Mytilus edulis: one gene and its partner. The protein of the gene in region 1 purifies or fractionates together with the protein of each later gene. This does not show direct contact. Links are inferred from orthologs where the notes say so. Each region holds a gene or a part of one and is shown on either strand. Other genes may lie near its edges.

Region 1 (7,877 bases):
CTAAAATTAATTTGGCTCTTTTAATTTTCACATAAAATTTTAACAAAATTTTTTACTTTGACCTTTTGACAAAAATATAAAAATTTTAAATTTGAACCAACCATTTTATCAAAATTTACACTGGTTACATAGCAGTTTGACAAACACTAGTTTTGATCGTTGAGAAGCTTAAAATCCCTATAACAATACAGTGTGATTAAAATGTTAAGCTGATCAGTGCTCTCCCCAGAAATTTTGAATAGTATCACATTTGGCGTAAAAAAATTTTAACATTACGGTAATTTGTCTATTTGTCACATCATGGTGATGCTCTATTTCCTTTATGTTATATATGTTTATATTGTTCAATTCATTACTGAGAATACAATTAAACTATAACCAGGAAAACAGTTGTTTCAGTTAATGTTTTCTTTATTCATTTATAGTTACAGAATTATTTTTTTCCTCTTGTGCCAAATAAAAAAATATGCGGTTTCAGTTACCCTACCTATACCCAACTATAATTATAAAATGAATGAATGGTTTATTATAGTGTAACCTGTATATATACAATACTATATATCTAGTACAAAAAAGAACTGTTTTTTTTATATTAAAAGTGAAGACAAAATCGAAGGGAAAGTATCATAAAAATAAAAATAAAATTTCAATTTAAAAACTTTTTTCTTTATCAAGTCTATGAAATTCATTGTTATATATATTTTTAACAAAGTTATCTAACAAATAGTCTGTTTGCGTAGTTTTCTCTATTGGTATATTTTTTCTGTCTACTGTACCATTTGTGCATCTGTAGATGCTATCGTGAAAATGCGTAATTTTATCATATCCTGTCCGGTTCAGACCCGTAGTTTACACAAAAATGTGCAATGGCGGCCAAAGAAAAAGTTTACAAAAATGAGTCTGGTAATAAACAATGATTGGCAATAGATTGGGAATGAATATGACGCTATTAATGCATTAAATGGATTAAACATAAACTAAAGCCAATTATGATCATTTTCTAAAGAAGTTTAAAACTTATTTAGCTCAAAATCTAAATTTTCGCTCTCAATAGTACTAGAACCGGTGGAAGAGACAGAAAGTTTTTTTTCAAAGTTGCAAAAACTTAATGACCAAACCTTTTTTATGAAAGAAAAGTTGTTTCAATTTTTGAAATTCAGTATTAAAAAAAAATAGATTTCAAATTGTTTAATGATTTTATGATGCATTCTTTTCATGTCAAAATTGACGATTGCAAACCCATGGTATAAGTCATTTCACAAGTGTCAGCTTGGGGTATTCACATCCAAATCACCCAAAGGGCAATTAAAACCTATTTAATTACTCTTATTGCCTCTATTGTCCGACTTGAAGGGATTACAATTAAAGGTAATATAACTTTTATGATCATAAGCGTTATTTGTTGAAAGTTCAAAATTTAGGACATGGATTTGTGATATATTGAAACAAAAATATAGCACCTTCAAATAAATTATAATAGCATCACAGGGAAATAATATAGTGTAGCGTATGCTTAAAAGGCCTGGGGAGAACACTGCTGATACTACAGAGTTCAGTGTTAGGACCAACCTTAAATGAAAGGAAAATAAAATAAAATATATTATATTCTAATAAAACAAGAATGTGTCCCCAGTACACGAATGCCCCACTCGCACTATCATTTTCTATGTTCAGTGGACCGTGAAATTGGGGTAAACCCTCTAATTTGGCATTAAAATTAAAAAGATCATATCATAGGGAACATGTATACTTAGTTTGAAGTCAATTGGACTTCAACTTCATCAAAAACTACCTTGACCAAAAACTTTAACCTGAAGCGGGACAGACGGACGGACGAACTGACGGACGAACGGACGGACAAACGGACGAACAGAGGCACAGACCAGAAAACATAATGCCCCTCTACTATCGTAGGTGGGGCATAAAAAGAAAATGTTCCACATTATTAATATTTGTGCATTAAAAGATGTAAACTGAGAAATTTTCATTTCTATTGATCACTCTATACAGACTTACCAATGTTTATGTGTCACCAAAACAGCATCTGGTATTATGTTATTCTTCTCAAGGTATTCCTAAATGAAAAATAACATTAATATTAAGTTTAGAAAAGCTTCATTATGTTATTTATTTTCAAAATGAAGATAGTTTTTACTTTTTCCTTGAATTTTTTTTCACACATTTCAAAAGAAGTTTATATTTTACAAATAAAATAGACGAATATCATCATATATATATATATATATATACAACTCGTCTAAACATCAACCCAACAATGTTAGATCTGTAAATTTGCTTTCGCAAATTTTTGGTTCTTCCCTCGCCGGGATTCGAACCCATGCTACTGTGATATCGTGACACCAAATCGCCTGCACTGCAGCCGTCCCGCTAGACCACACGACCACCTGGGCTCTCAAAATAAGAGCTTTCGCTGGCTGCGTATTACCTTTCCACGTCAGTTTTAATCTAGCGGCGTACTGCAGAACATGATATATAAGGCATGAAGATGTTATTGTTACAGATCAGCTAAATTATCTATAGTAAAGGATCCTAATATATATATTTTTTTTCTTCAACTGTTAACTCTTGTTGAAAAGTAAATCCTATTATGAGGTAGAAAAATAGAAACAAGAGAAAATGGTAGGTTAAACCTGGTTTTATAGCTAGCTAAACCTCTCGCTTGTAATTTTGACAGTTGTTCATAGTTTCAACATATTGGTAAAGTGCATCCTCCAGCCCTTAATACCACAAGGATAACTTATTGTGACAAGATGTTTGGCAACTGATGACATCCCCTCTTAAGGTGCATGTGGTACCTAACACCTTGACTAAATTTTTTTTGGCGCGCTTAATTTTCCTAAAATTTTGACAAAATATTTACTTTGACCATTTTACAAAAATATAAAGAAAAATTTCATTGGATATATATATATCAATTTGGAAAGCACTAAATTTGATCATGGAGAAGCTTAATATTTCCTTAACAATACAATGTGATTAAAAAGTTAAGCTGATTTTACAGAGTTATCTCCCTGTAGTGTTAGGTACCACGGTACTACCACTTTAAACAGTACTAGTTCAAACAGAGAGAGTGAAATAATCTAATGAACAGCTCCACCTGGTGGTTACTTACAATAACAGGTTCTGGATCTCCAGGGTCTATAACTACTGTTGTTTTGCCATCTGTTATTACATATGCCAGGTTGTCTAAAGACATAGGGACAGGTGTTATCTTCAAATCTGCAAAACAAAGTGAATAATTAGGAAAGAACTCTTACAGTATACATGTATATCAGTATAAATGTACCACTATCACAACTGAAGTTTACAAGTCAAATGGCAAAATGGCATAACCATAAAGTTTATATATATATTAGGCAAAAAAAAGTATGTGTGTTTACTGTACCCCTACTCTAAAGTTATTTTGGCCATTTTTGATTAAGCACTGTTAAAGTCACAATGTTTCTCACATACTAAGACTTAATTTAAAATATAAATAAAATTCCCTACCTATCTTAGTACCTACCCTTTTTTTCAGCATGTGACAGTAAACACACATACTTTTTTTTTTGGCCTTACATGTACAAAAAATGTAGTCATAAAATCTTTACCTTTATGGCATAATCATTGTCTCACAATCAGAAAAAGAAGACAACAAAATATCTGCACAATTAATTATTTACTAGTCGTCTCCCTTGTTAATGTCTGTGTCATTTTGGTCTCTTGTGAAGAGTTGTCTCATTGGCAATCATAAAAATGTACCATATCTTCTTTTTATACATGTATTTACATACCATTATATGTTTTTGTTTGTATGACAGAATGACTTTCTCCTTCTCCATATTTTTCCCTAGCTTTGTTAACATCTCTCCTGTGATAAATATAACCAAGACAAGTCCTAGTGTAGAACCAATACCTGTCAATCAAATATTAAAAATGTAAGTAGGAAATATGAATAACAATAAACTTAAATCAAATGACTGAAAACACAAGTTACAAATGTATATGTGTTTGTCTATAAATACATGCATCTTAATATTTTTGGAAAGCAGTTATCAACAGATAACCTACATGTATGTTACATGTATTTCAAACTCTTAGAAAGTTACTCATTCTAAAAGACGATAAAAAAAATGACTGATTCTTTCCCAAAAACATCAATCATTGACAGTGTCAGTATACACCTTATTGCTGTAACAGGCTGACCCAGCCTCTTGAACTTTTGACGTGATACAATGTATAACATTCACTTTTCCATAGTGGCGTCAGATATTTTGTTTTATGATGTCATAATTTTACAAGAACCTGTGTGATATCCTGTAATGCCGGACAGATAGCGATAAGGTGTATTGAGTAATGGTTATTATTTGGAAAATGACGGTAAAAATTTTACCAAATTGATGCTGAAAATGACGGTAAAGGGCATCTGTTAATACCCTCATTATTTATCAAGGATTTGTATATTATGCAATCATGAAATAAACAGATAAATAGACTGCAGGAAATTATCATTATCAACTCAATGTTGTCTCTTTGACACACTCCTCAATTCTCAATTTTATCTGACAGAAACAAGACACTGAGATTACAGTTTCTTTTCAGATTTGAAATGACAATACGTATCTAAGGTATATATATTCCGTTTACCCTATTTGAAATAAACAACCGCCTTCTTGTGTTGTCATTTTTGTGAGAATTTTGTCTTGAAAATGTAACATTCGAAACTGAGACGGTATGTCATGAAAATTCCGCTTTTTATTTCTAGAATTATTTCCCTTGTATTGATCTAGGAGTGGTGCGCTGCAAACCACGTGTTTTTCTCTTACTCGCCATTTATATCAGGGTACGGACGTTAGAAATTACAGCTCTGATTAAATAATTATTTATCAAATACAACTTATGTCAAAAAGTTGTTAAGAAGTTCCCATTTGCTATTGACTAACAGTCTATCTTCTTCACTATGTTAACGAGTACAAAATTTCATTGAAAATTGGGGTATTTTATTTAGACTTAGAAACCACGTGTTAGTAACACTTAAAAAAAAAGGGGGGACGTGAGGCGTAATAGTCATATTTATAAATGGTATTACGCTTAAGGTTCATCATAAGGAATTGAAAAATATGGCCGTGTTTACACCTCCAAAATTACTATGAGTACAGACAAACTGGTACATCCAGCAAAGTTTTAAGGCATGGCAGGAACTAGATATATAAAAGTTATATGAAGTCTACGTTTCAGAAAATTAAAAACTAACCTGAATTTTGATGTTCATTTTTTTCCAGTCTGCAGAAGATAGCAAAATAAACAAACACCCGAGTTTCATTTGATACGGTCCACTCAGTTACACAGTTTAAACCTGTTAAATCACCTATTGTTTACAGGTGTCTATTGTCCATCTATTGTCCATTTAAATCAATACTACTCACAACATTGATTATATGAGGGGAGCTTCTCAATCGTTTTCACTACTTAGTTAATTTTTGCACCTTCTGCAGGAACGAAAAAAAATGGATAGCAAAATCTAGAAAAGTTTATAACTTTCTGAAACATAAAATGCATTTAAAATTTATATATCTAGTTCCTGCCATCCCTTAAAACTGATGCAGGTGTATAGATTAGTCTGTACTCAGAGTAAAATTTGGGGTGTAAATACGGCCATTTTAGCCAAAAGGTTATGATGAACCTTAAAGAAACCACTTAAAACTCAAAATTAGCAGTTCATCCTATTTAAAGAGACTGCCATTCTAATACAACAATCAGTGATAGTGTTTGCCTTAAATAAATGGAGAATAAACAGATAAAGGGCTTTTTCTCCAACTGGTGGAGAAAAATCCCAATTTGAAAAAAAATGGCTTAAAATTATTCCCAAAAAAGACAACTTCTTCCTGAAACGGTGCAGTTTCAGTAGTAACTGCATGAATTCAAACTTAAAAACACTCATTTATATTTTTTTCATGCCTAAAATTACTAAGTGCAGAATTGAGGGTCTATTTATGTATCATCACTGACAAAAGGGGGTCTTATTTCAAAGCAAGATTTGACTCTTGAAATGAGGTCTAAATTTAAGTTTCAGTCAAATTCATGGTTTATTCTATGAAAATTACGCATATTTTCCCAATAAAAAGGGTACAGGTAGTTTTGAAAAAAACCAACAATATCGCTGATCGGAGAGATGAAAATTTTGCCTTGAATCTCTTTTGTTGTAATTGTAATTGTATCATGCATTTTTATATTTTCCACTCTTTTTAGGTCCTTATCACAGGCACTCGTCTCAGAATTTTCCCCCTATTTACCTTTATATAACACAAGGTACTTAACTCACGATTTTGAAAAATGTCATACAGTGACAAAATTCCATTAAAAATTCTGCGTCTCAGTTGTCAATCCGACTAAAACTTGTTATGCCGTAAATCAAAATTGATTCATATCTTCACAATGCCAATGGTGTATAACACGCCTACTGTTGTTTTCGGAATCATCCGTAGCAATCCTACCAAAGTACGGATGATTCCGACAACAAATGTAGGCATGTTATACACCATTGTAAAGATAAATCAATTTAGATTTACGATATAACAAGTTTTAGTGGGGTCATCCCGACTTTTTTTGCAGCTTCTCATTCTGATTTTTTTTTTAATTTCTTCCTATCCTCCAACCCCTCAAAATCAAAAAGTAGCTCCCATTGCAGTGGGGGATCCTAAATTTTCAAAAGTGGGGACCGATTGACTGCCAAAGAGGGGGCCCACTCCCGTCATGCTTAAGTGATTCCCCATATAATAATATAATAGGCTTCATGGTTAGTGCGGCCATATTGGATAGGGGGCAGATTTCTTAAAAAGAGGTGGAAATAGTATGAAAGTATGGGAAATCCTATGTTTCCATGCAACTGCTCTGTTTTAATAATGTTTTCCTATATTTTTCACAACATTTTTACCTCAATGTTGAAAATCTGCCCCCTATCCAATATGGCCGAACTAATGTGAAGAGCCCTATTAAACAATTTTTTCCCAGAAAATGGGGGGGCCAGGGCTCCTTGAAAAACCCTCTGAATCCACCTTTGCATTGTAGTATTGGTCTTCAAGAATTATTGTGGTGTCAATGCGAAAGTTGTGACGGATATATTGCATACATGTATATGCCAGAACAGTTGCCAGACAGACCCGAATATTCAATTTTTTTTTTTTCAATTTCTGAAATATAAATAAAAATTAACCCTTTCGCCGATGAGTCCCGGTTTACCGGGATTCACGCTTCAGACAACTGACGATGAGTCCCGTTTTACCGGGATCGGAATACATCTTTTATGTTTCCCGCTCAAAACAGTGCAAACATGAGTTATCTTTCTTTGATGAATACCCATATGAAAGTATAAACATGGCGCTTCCGTTTGTTGAAAACCGTGTCAAAATCAGACGAAATTTACGGAATTTACGAGAATTTGAAATGAGGGAACATTTTTTTGAAAGAATATGGAAGAATTGATGCCAAGCTAGTATACTTTTTTGACATAAAATGTAGTTTTATGTACAAAACACTTGGAATGGACATCGTTCAGTGTGAGGAATTTGTACAGCCTCAGAAAATTTTTCAAAAGTTTGCCGTTTTGGGTTAAAAAATTACGATTTGGGGTCAAAGAGCAGAATTTTGAGAATTTCACCTAGATAATGCCGAAAATTTGAAAATTTGAATATTTTATGAGGAAAAAATTATCAAAACATGAATAAAACTGTGAACATGGTGTTAGTGAATGAAATAAATACACAATTAACTACAAACAAGTTTTTATTGACATTTATTATGAAGATCTCCCACTTGAGCAATAGTAGCCAGGGAAGCCATCGTCTCAGAGTAGCTTCTGTCTGGGCAGCAATCGGTGA
Region 2 (7,405 bases), on another chromosome or scaffold:
ATTTGGCCTAAGTATAACAGTTACATGTATATATGTATGCAAGAACGAGCGCTCAGATTCATCTACAATGACTACAATAAATCATATGAACAACTACTTGAACAATCTAAATTACCAATTCTTAAAATCAGTCGCATGAGAAGCATGGCATTAGAAACTTACAAAATTTTAACAAAATCCAGTCCTGAGTTTTTACACAATATATTAAATTTTAAAGATAACTCATATAATTTTAGATATAAACTCACAGTTGATTTACCACAACCAAGAACTACAAGGTATGGCAAAAGGAGTTTTAGCTTTGTCGGCAGCAAAGTTGTGGAACTCCCTGCCTAACCATGCATGGAGCCCCTCAACTTTGGTAAAGTTCAAACATTTTATTTCTTCATGGTGCTCTTCAGAAAACTGCTTCTGTAGCTCATGTAGATATTAACTTTGCTGTTCTCAGAGCTGGATCTTCTGGCCCTGTGTTCTGTTTATTGTTTGCTTTTATTTTATTTATTTGCTTAGCTTACAATGTATGTCATTGTGCCAGTTAAAGCAAAATTTGCTTTTCCTTTCTTTTAGCTTGCTTGCTTTGATTTATGCATGTTTGCTTTGCTATTATATTATGCATGTGTTTTATTTGTATGTGTAGTCTGTGCTGATAATTTGTTATTTGTTTTAAGTATCAAGTCGGTTAAGAGCTCTACAGAGCTCATGTTTACCTTGTTAAATTGTACATATCATGCCGGACTATAAATAAAATTTACTTACTTACTTACTTTTCTATATATAATTCTCACCCATTTGAATATCATTCTATTCTAATAGAATCCATGACAAATCGCCCCACTGGCAAATCGCCCCACTCTTTCACAAACTCGCCCCACTTTCTAAAAAAAACGCCCCACTCTTGTTTACCAACTCGCCCCATTATGAAAAGGGTAAACTCCCATTGCAAATAGGTATGATAACATGCCCCCCTTATGAAAAGGGTTAAAATCCCGCTGAAATACGGTCAGCTGTCAACTGGCCCCACTCATGACAAATAGATAAACCACTTATAAAAAAGATGCAATCCCGTTGTATATCTTTGTCCCTGCCCACGTCAATACCTTTGAAAACCTAAGTGAAGTGCTATAACATCAAATTGCTGTTAAAAACTCTGTTTTTGCAATAAAGTTATATATAAATGTTAATCACGCATCAATTAATTGTGTGATTATGATACAATTAACAGGTTTCTTTTCAATTGTTATACAAATAACTAAGCTTACAAGTATAAAGTTATTCTCCAATAATGATACAAAAATGTCTTTGCAATTATATTTTAAGAATGTTAAAAAAGTTTAATAAACTGATTTCAATTTTTTTTTTTTTGTATTCTGTGTAGATCACAAAAATCAAAATAAGTTTTCATTTAAGTGCGGCTAGTTGGTAGACCTGAAAATTACATATAATAGAAGTAGATTTTTCCTTTTTTCAATAAGTGGGGCGAGTTGACAGGGGAAAAATTAACTGGATTTAACCCTTTTCAAAAGTGAGGCGATTAATCATTTTTTTAAAAAGTGGGGCGAGTTGGTTAACCAGGTTGGGGCGATTTTTTTATTTTTTTTAATAGTGGGGCAGGTTGGTGAAAAAGTGGGGCGATTTGGTGTGGGGCGGTTTTGCCAGTGGGGCGATTTGTCCTGCTTCCTTCTAATATATTAATAATAGTGCAGTGCAAGTGCATGACAGACGCTCTTCTGTGAAAAATGGATTTTATTAATAGATTGGATTTGAGTAGGCATTCAATTTTCCTGCTAAACCAATCTCCCATGCAGAGTTATCGCTCCTTGCTCTGAGAGAGTGAGTAAGGACCGATAAATCTGCATGGGAGATTGCCGCAAAACATTCATGAGATCTTCTTTCGCATGTGTTAACACAGTTATAAGCAAAAAGGTATGTTAATTTGCACTCGATAATGTCCACATATTTATCTGTTTATAGATCGCTTATCAGTCAAACGCAAAAGTTACATATTAAAGTGAAAATCTCGTCAGCAACAAATATACCTTATCGCTAATCCCGGCTGACCATGCCGCTTGAACTTTTGACGCATACAACAATCACTTTTCCATTGTGGCGTCAGATATTTTGTTTTATGACGTCAAAATTTTACGTGAACCTGTGTGATATCCAGTAGTGGTGCCGATTTAACCAAGTGTCGATTTGACTACTGGGTGCCGATTTAAGGATGTTCGCTACTCTGTTGAAAAATAACAAGCTTTTTAAAAAACTGTTATACATTGAAAGTATATATATAAAGAAACTAAAAAAGCAGAAAAAAATGGAGGGTCCGTGTGTTTGTTTTCGAGATATAAGCCATTGAAAATTTGGCGGGAAATAATTCTCTCTAGATTTTTCTTTCACTTAACATTGTCACCTTTTTTGTTTTAAAAACTATGGAAAAATAACAAGGATTTCATAAGATTTTGAAATATGGCTTTTTAAATAATATGTAATAAAAATATGAAAAGAAAAGTAGGGGTTATTGGGCAATTTTTTTTAATGTTGATACATGGATAAAACCAGAGGATTTCGAAAATCTAGCAAAAATTCAAAATGTAGAGGAGCGAACATCCTTAACCAGGTGCCGATTTGACTACTGCCGTGAGAACTGGGTGCCTAAAATTGCCCATGCCATTGATTTATGGACCACACTTTATTACCTTTTTTGATTTTCCAGGGTTTCCAGAGGTATAATCTTTGATAAGTTCGTAATCCGTAAGTTCTTCTATTGAAATTAAAGAATCGAAATCATTTTGAGATAAAAGATTATAGTCAATTTTCACTGGTTTCCACTTTCCTTTGGTTTTCACGTGCATGGAAGTCGCCATTTTTTACTCTCTAAATGTAAACAAATCTCATAAAGTCATCAAGACAAATAAAATATGAAAACTATCTGTTTTAAAATAGAATTATTTTTATCATCTTTTTTTATTTATCTATCTATTCCATACAGCTTATTCATTCCTATTTTGTATTGTTTTGAGATTAAAAGTATAGTCTGGGTTCCCATTATTCAAGGTCTGGACGTATAGTAGAGATTGAATTTAAACAGGAACCCAGGTTAAAAATATTACAACTGGTTACAATAACACAAACATTCTTATAAAGCTTTAGTTGACAGTTGTAGGTTCCAGATTATTTATTGTTGACGTTTTTTGTCTTCTTTCGTTTTACACCATAGGAAACAAAATCAGTGACATTCCAATAAAATGTAACACTGGTGTAGGAAAAAGAAGATATTTTACACCTAAGCATCCCAATACACATAGAAAATAGCAGAGAAGGTGATGACAATTTGACAATGAAACTTCCCAAAGTTGTCTTTGACTTTATCCAGTCCAAATATTAAATTATTTTGAGGTCTTGAAATAGATATAGGGAGATGTGGTATGAGTGCCAATGAGACAACTCTCCATCCAAATGACAATTATAAAAGTAAACCATTATAGGTCAAGATACGGCCTTCAACATGGAGCCTTAGCTCACACCAAACAGCAAGCTATAAGACTGATAAAGGGCCCAAAAAATTACCAGTGTAAAACCTTTCGACAAAAAAAACCAATGGTCTAATGTATATAAAATTGAAAAACGAGAAACACGTATGAACTATACATTAACATACGACAACTACTGTACATCAGATTCCTGACTTAAACAGGTGCAAACATTTTAATGGTACCAAACCTCCTCCCTTTTCTAAAACAATAGTATAACATCACAACATAAAAAAACACTATAAAATATCAATTGGAAGGCTTAACTCAATAAAGAAAACACAAATTAAGGCGACTATGCTTTTTTGCTTTGACGCCTTACAATATGTCATAATTATTTTGATTAACTCAGGCCTAGCTTCACAGGCACTTGTTTCTATCCATGGGAAGACCCACTATCAACGTAAATATATAGAAACAAGTGCCTGTGCCAAGCTTCATTAATTGAATTAAGTTTAAATGTTTAAATAGTTCTTCAAATGAGAAACTTAATTTTGTTGAATGTAACAGTTATAGACGACTCTCACATTTCAACCTTTTCCTGTCATATTGCTTTTATCAATTCGTCAAAGTGAGAGTCTATACACAACCTTTTAATTAAATTAGTGGACTTTTCACAAAAAACATGCATTGATGTTACAAAAAAAAAATCTTTTAGTTGTGATGTCCGACGACTAAGTTTTTCCCCAAATGAACCAGAACCCAAATCAACAGGAACAGCCTTGTTCATCCTTAAAACTGAAATTGGAAAGTTATCAATTGCTAAACGACATCATCTATGCTGGCTGACCCTGAGTCAACCAGTGTTACTCATTCATGAAAAGAAAACAAGGATTTGGTCAATACCCAAATCAAAGTTTCAAGTTACCTGAAATTATTGACCACAGGAGTTGTTGATTTTATCAATGTTCATAAAATATAGAAAAATATTTGCTTATTAATTGTGCCATGACCCTTTTTGAACAGTCAGTCATCATAAAATTGGAGTACTTTTCAACCAGAACGACTTACTTTTTCAATAGTTTCTTCTCTTCATTAGTTTCAGCAAGGAATTGTATATTTAAAAGGAATGGAAACGCGGCTCGAGATCAATCGGGATACCAACAGCGCACCCGCAGAGTTATAAACCATGTCTGGCTCAGGCGGAAGTATGATGAATAATATAAAAAATCATGACGGAGTTCCATTTCCTGTCATATAAATCGGTCTTTTAATTCACGGGGTCATCTTGCTTGAGACGATATAAATGAGAGAGAAACCCGAAATCAAGAATAAACTTTTATTCCTAGCAAAAAGTAAGGCCTTGGGTATCATTTTAATGCCTCATCAAACATACGTTTGTAATATTGTATTGAGTAAATTCTCATTAGAATAGACCTCGGTCTTGAAAATTGAGGGAGTTTCATCCGGATTACTAAACAAAAAATACTGTGTTTTGATTTTTTTCTAAAAACTTGAAAACTGCGAAGTGCAAAACAAAACAGTTGATATCATTATGAAGCTGAAACCTTATTCTATCGCTTAGGCTCTTTTTGAAGTTTCTTGTAACTTTTAAGAATTTTCTACGATTTTTCGAAATTTCAGTTTTGAGTTTCAATATTCTGTCAAAATATGTCTATCAATCTGGGAGTGCACTACGATTTCTTTATTATATTGGAAAGTAGAAAGAAAAAAGTGAGAAAATGAGATATCATTTTAAAGAAGGAATATTTTTCTACAGTTTGATCTAAATTACGAATGCTAAATGTAATTGGTACAATATATATGATTTTATTTCGAAACATGTTGAAAATTTGAAGTTGTGCGTCAACAAATACATCGACACTTTGTATTTTGGTATAAGTTAAATAACTACTTGAAATAGATGTGACATTGACATATAATTTAAAAGCTTAGTCTTTTTTCTATCGCATAGTGTTCATTTTATGAAAATGGTGATAAAAACGAATTAGCTATGATTTTTCAAAATCCCATGTTTATATTTCACATTGACGCCATTTTGTTTGAAATAACAGACAAGATATATATAAAAGACACACGATTGGGATTTATTGTGCCTTAATATACCATGTACGATGTTATGCATTTCAAGTTTTTTTGTCAAATGCTGCTTTAGATACTAAATCGTTGTTTAGAATGCAGTTTGCCATTATAAAGCGTTGCCGCAAATTACCATACGAAACAGCAAAACTGTTCCTTCCTTTTTCTCCCAGAGCAGTAGTCTATAGGCCGCAAAAGTATTCCTTTGGTGTTAAAATAAATAAAATGCGAATGTGGGAAAGTTTGAACTGTTTCTAATTAGAAAATTTATTGCATCTCTGCATAATTTAGCATTAATTAACAGGTGAGCTCGACATTATTAATTTTTAACATCTTAAAAGTATGTAAGACCAGAGACAAATTAGCTTATCATTGATACATGATATATTATACCTGCAAATTGGAACATCCTGCATGCCGTTGTTTATTATAACACCTGTAATCTAAGTTCTTTTATCTAGATAATATACTGCAGTTGTTAAAATTTTCCTTCCTTCATAATAATTTATTAACTTCTTTCTTTAACAGTCATTTAGTTACATTTTTAAAATGTTCTTTATTTTGCATGAAAACTTTTTAACACTCGTAAAATGTCCGATATCATCTGATTATGACATACCTTCATGAAATAATACAATAAAAAAAAATTGAATAATAATTTTGTTAGTTCATCACATTTCATTCTGGTGTTATCTTTCTTGGTATAGTTAACACTAATTAATGAGAATCAGCATAAAAGTAGTGTCAAAATGATATAAAGAAAGATACTTTCAAGGATAACACTAAATTTTCAACAAGCAAGATTCAGAATTCTTTATGATAATGGGGCATGGAAAGTGAACTCTGTATTAAGTTGTTAGACTTTTTGTTCCAAATTAGTACTGAGTCCTAGTCAATTTTTCAAATAGCAAAAAGTTAAGATAAAAAGGAAGGAATTGGAATTAAAACTCTATATCAATCATGAATGCGACTGTAGTTATATTTTTTATCTTCAGATAGAAGAGATGCAGTCAAGTGACACTGATTATCATTTTGATAATAACAACACAATTGACATGGATTTTTGTGCTAATATGGAAATACAAACAAAGAAGAGAAAATTTGAAATGACAACAGAAAATGTGACATCAGCTATCATGTCAGGTTTGTAAAATCATCAATTTGAACACACTTATAAAGAAAGATCTCAGTAAGAGTCGACAAAAGATGAAAAGTTAGTTTTACATGCTTACTTCAAATCAATTAATCTACAACTGAAGACAAAATAGAATACAAATCATAAAATTGAGAATGGAAATGGGGAATGTGTCCATGAGAAAACAACCTGACCAAAAATGGGGAATGTGTCAAAGAGAAAACAACCTGACCAAAGAGTTATCAGCAGCCTAAGACCACCAATAGGTACAATAGTCTCGGATGTGGAGAAAAAGTTGAGAATTTGATAACTTTATAATACAAAAAATCATTATATTCAACATGTTCCCTGAGTCTTGCATTGCTATTTAGTGAAATAGATGAAATTGTTAATTTTTCTTCTTATTTCACTATAAGTTAGTATAGATTATAGTTTATAATTGTTTTTGCAATAAATGATATGAAAGGAAAATGCCTATAATTTTCAGGAAGACAGTTTGTTTTACTTCCAAGGAACAGCAGTACCTATGTCACAACAGATTGGAAACTCACTGGAACCTCATTATTCCTTCCATTGAAAGGGGACACATTTGTCAATCTACAAAAATATGAACAGATAACAGTTGCTGACGGAAGCTACTTCATTGCAGACGATGCAGGAAATTACTCAAGATCTGTTACAGGTATGGGTGAAGGAAGATAAC

What was found. Proteins that work in one complex are often made in the same cells at the same time.
Region 2: the proteins of large ribosomal subunit protein uL10-like (region 1) and ATP-dependent RNA helicase DDX24-like purify together in Homo sapiens (affinity purification with mass spectrometry; 3 studies listed by BioGRID and IntAct, with this or other methods). This does not show direct contact. The link is inferred for Mytilus edulis from reciprocal best matches to the Homo sapiens genes RPLP0 and DDX24.

Annotation. Positions count from the first base shown.
Region 1 is NC_092355.1:20,101,527-20,109,403, forward strand, and holds the start of large ribosomal subunit protein uL10-like, read left to right. Parts: upstream 1-4,792; 5' UTR 4,793-4,843; intron 4,844-7,877. Other genes in the region: probable hydrolase PNKD, read right to left, coding at 2,017-2,075, 3,134-3,240, 3,795-3,916, 4,648-4,718.
Region 2 is NC_092344.1:113,043,061-113,050,465, reverse strand, and holds the start of ATP-dependent RNA helicase DDX24-like, read right to left. Parts: upstream 3,057-7,405; 5' UTR 2,862-3,056; coding exon 2,694-2,861; intron 1-2,693. Other genes in the region: uncharacterized protein, read left to right, coding at 6,572-6,710, 7,190-7,384. UniProt on the Homo sapiens protein: ATP-dependent RNA helicase that plays a role in various aspects of RNA metabolism including pre-mRNA splicing and is thereby involved in different biological processes such as cell cycle regulation or innate immunity.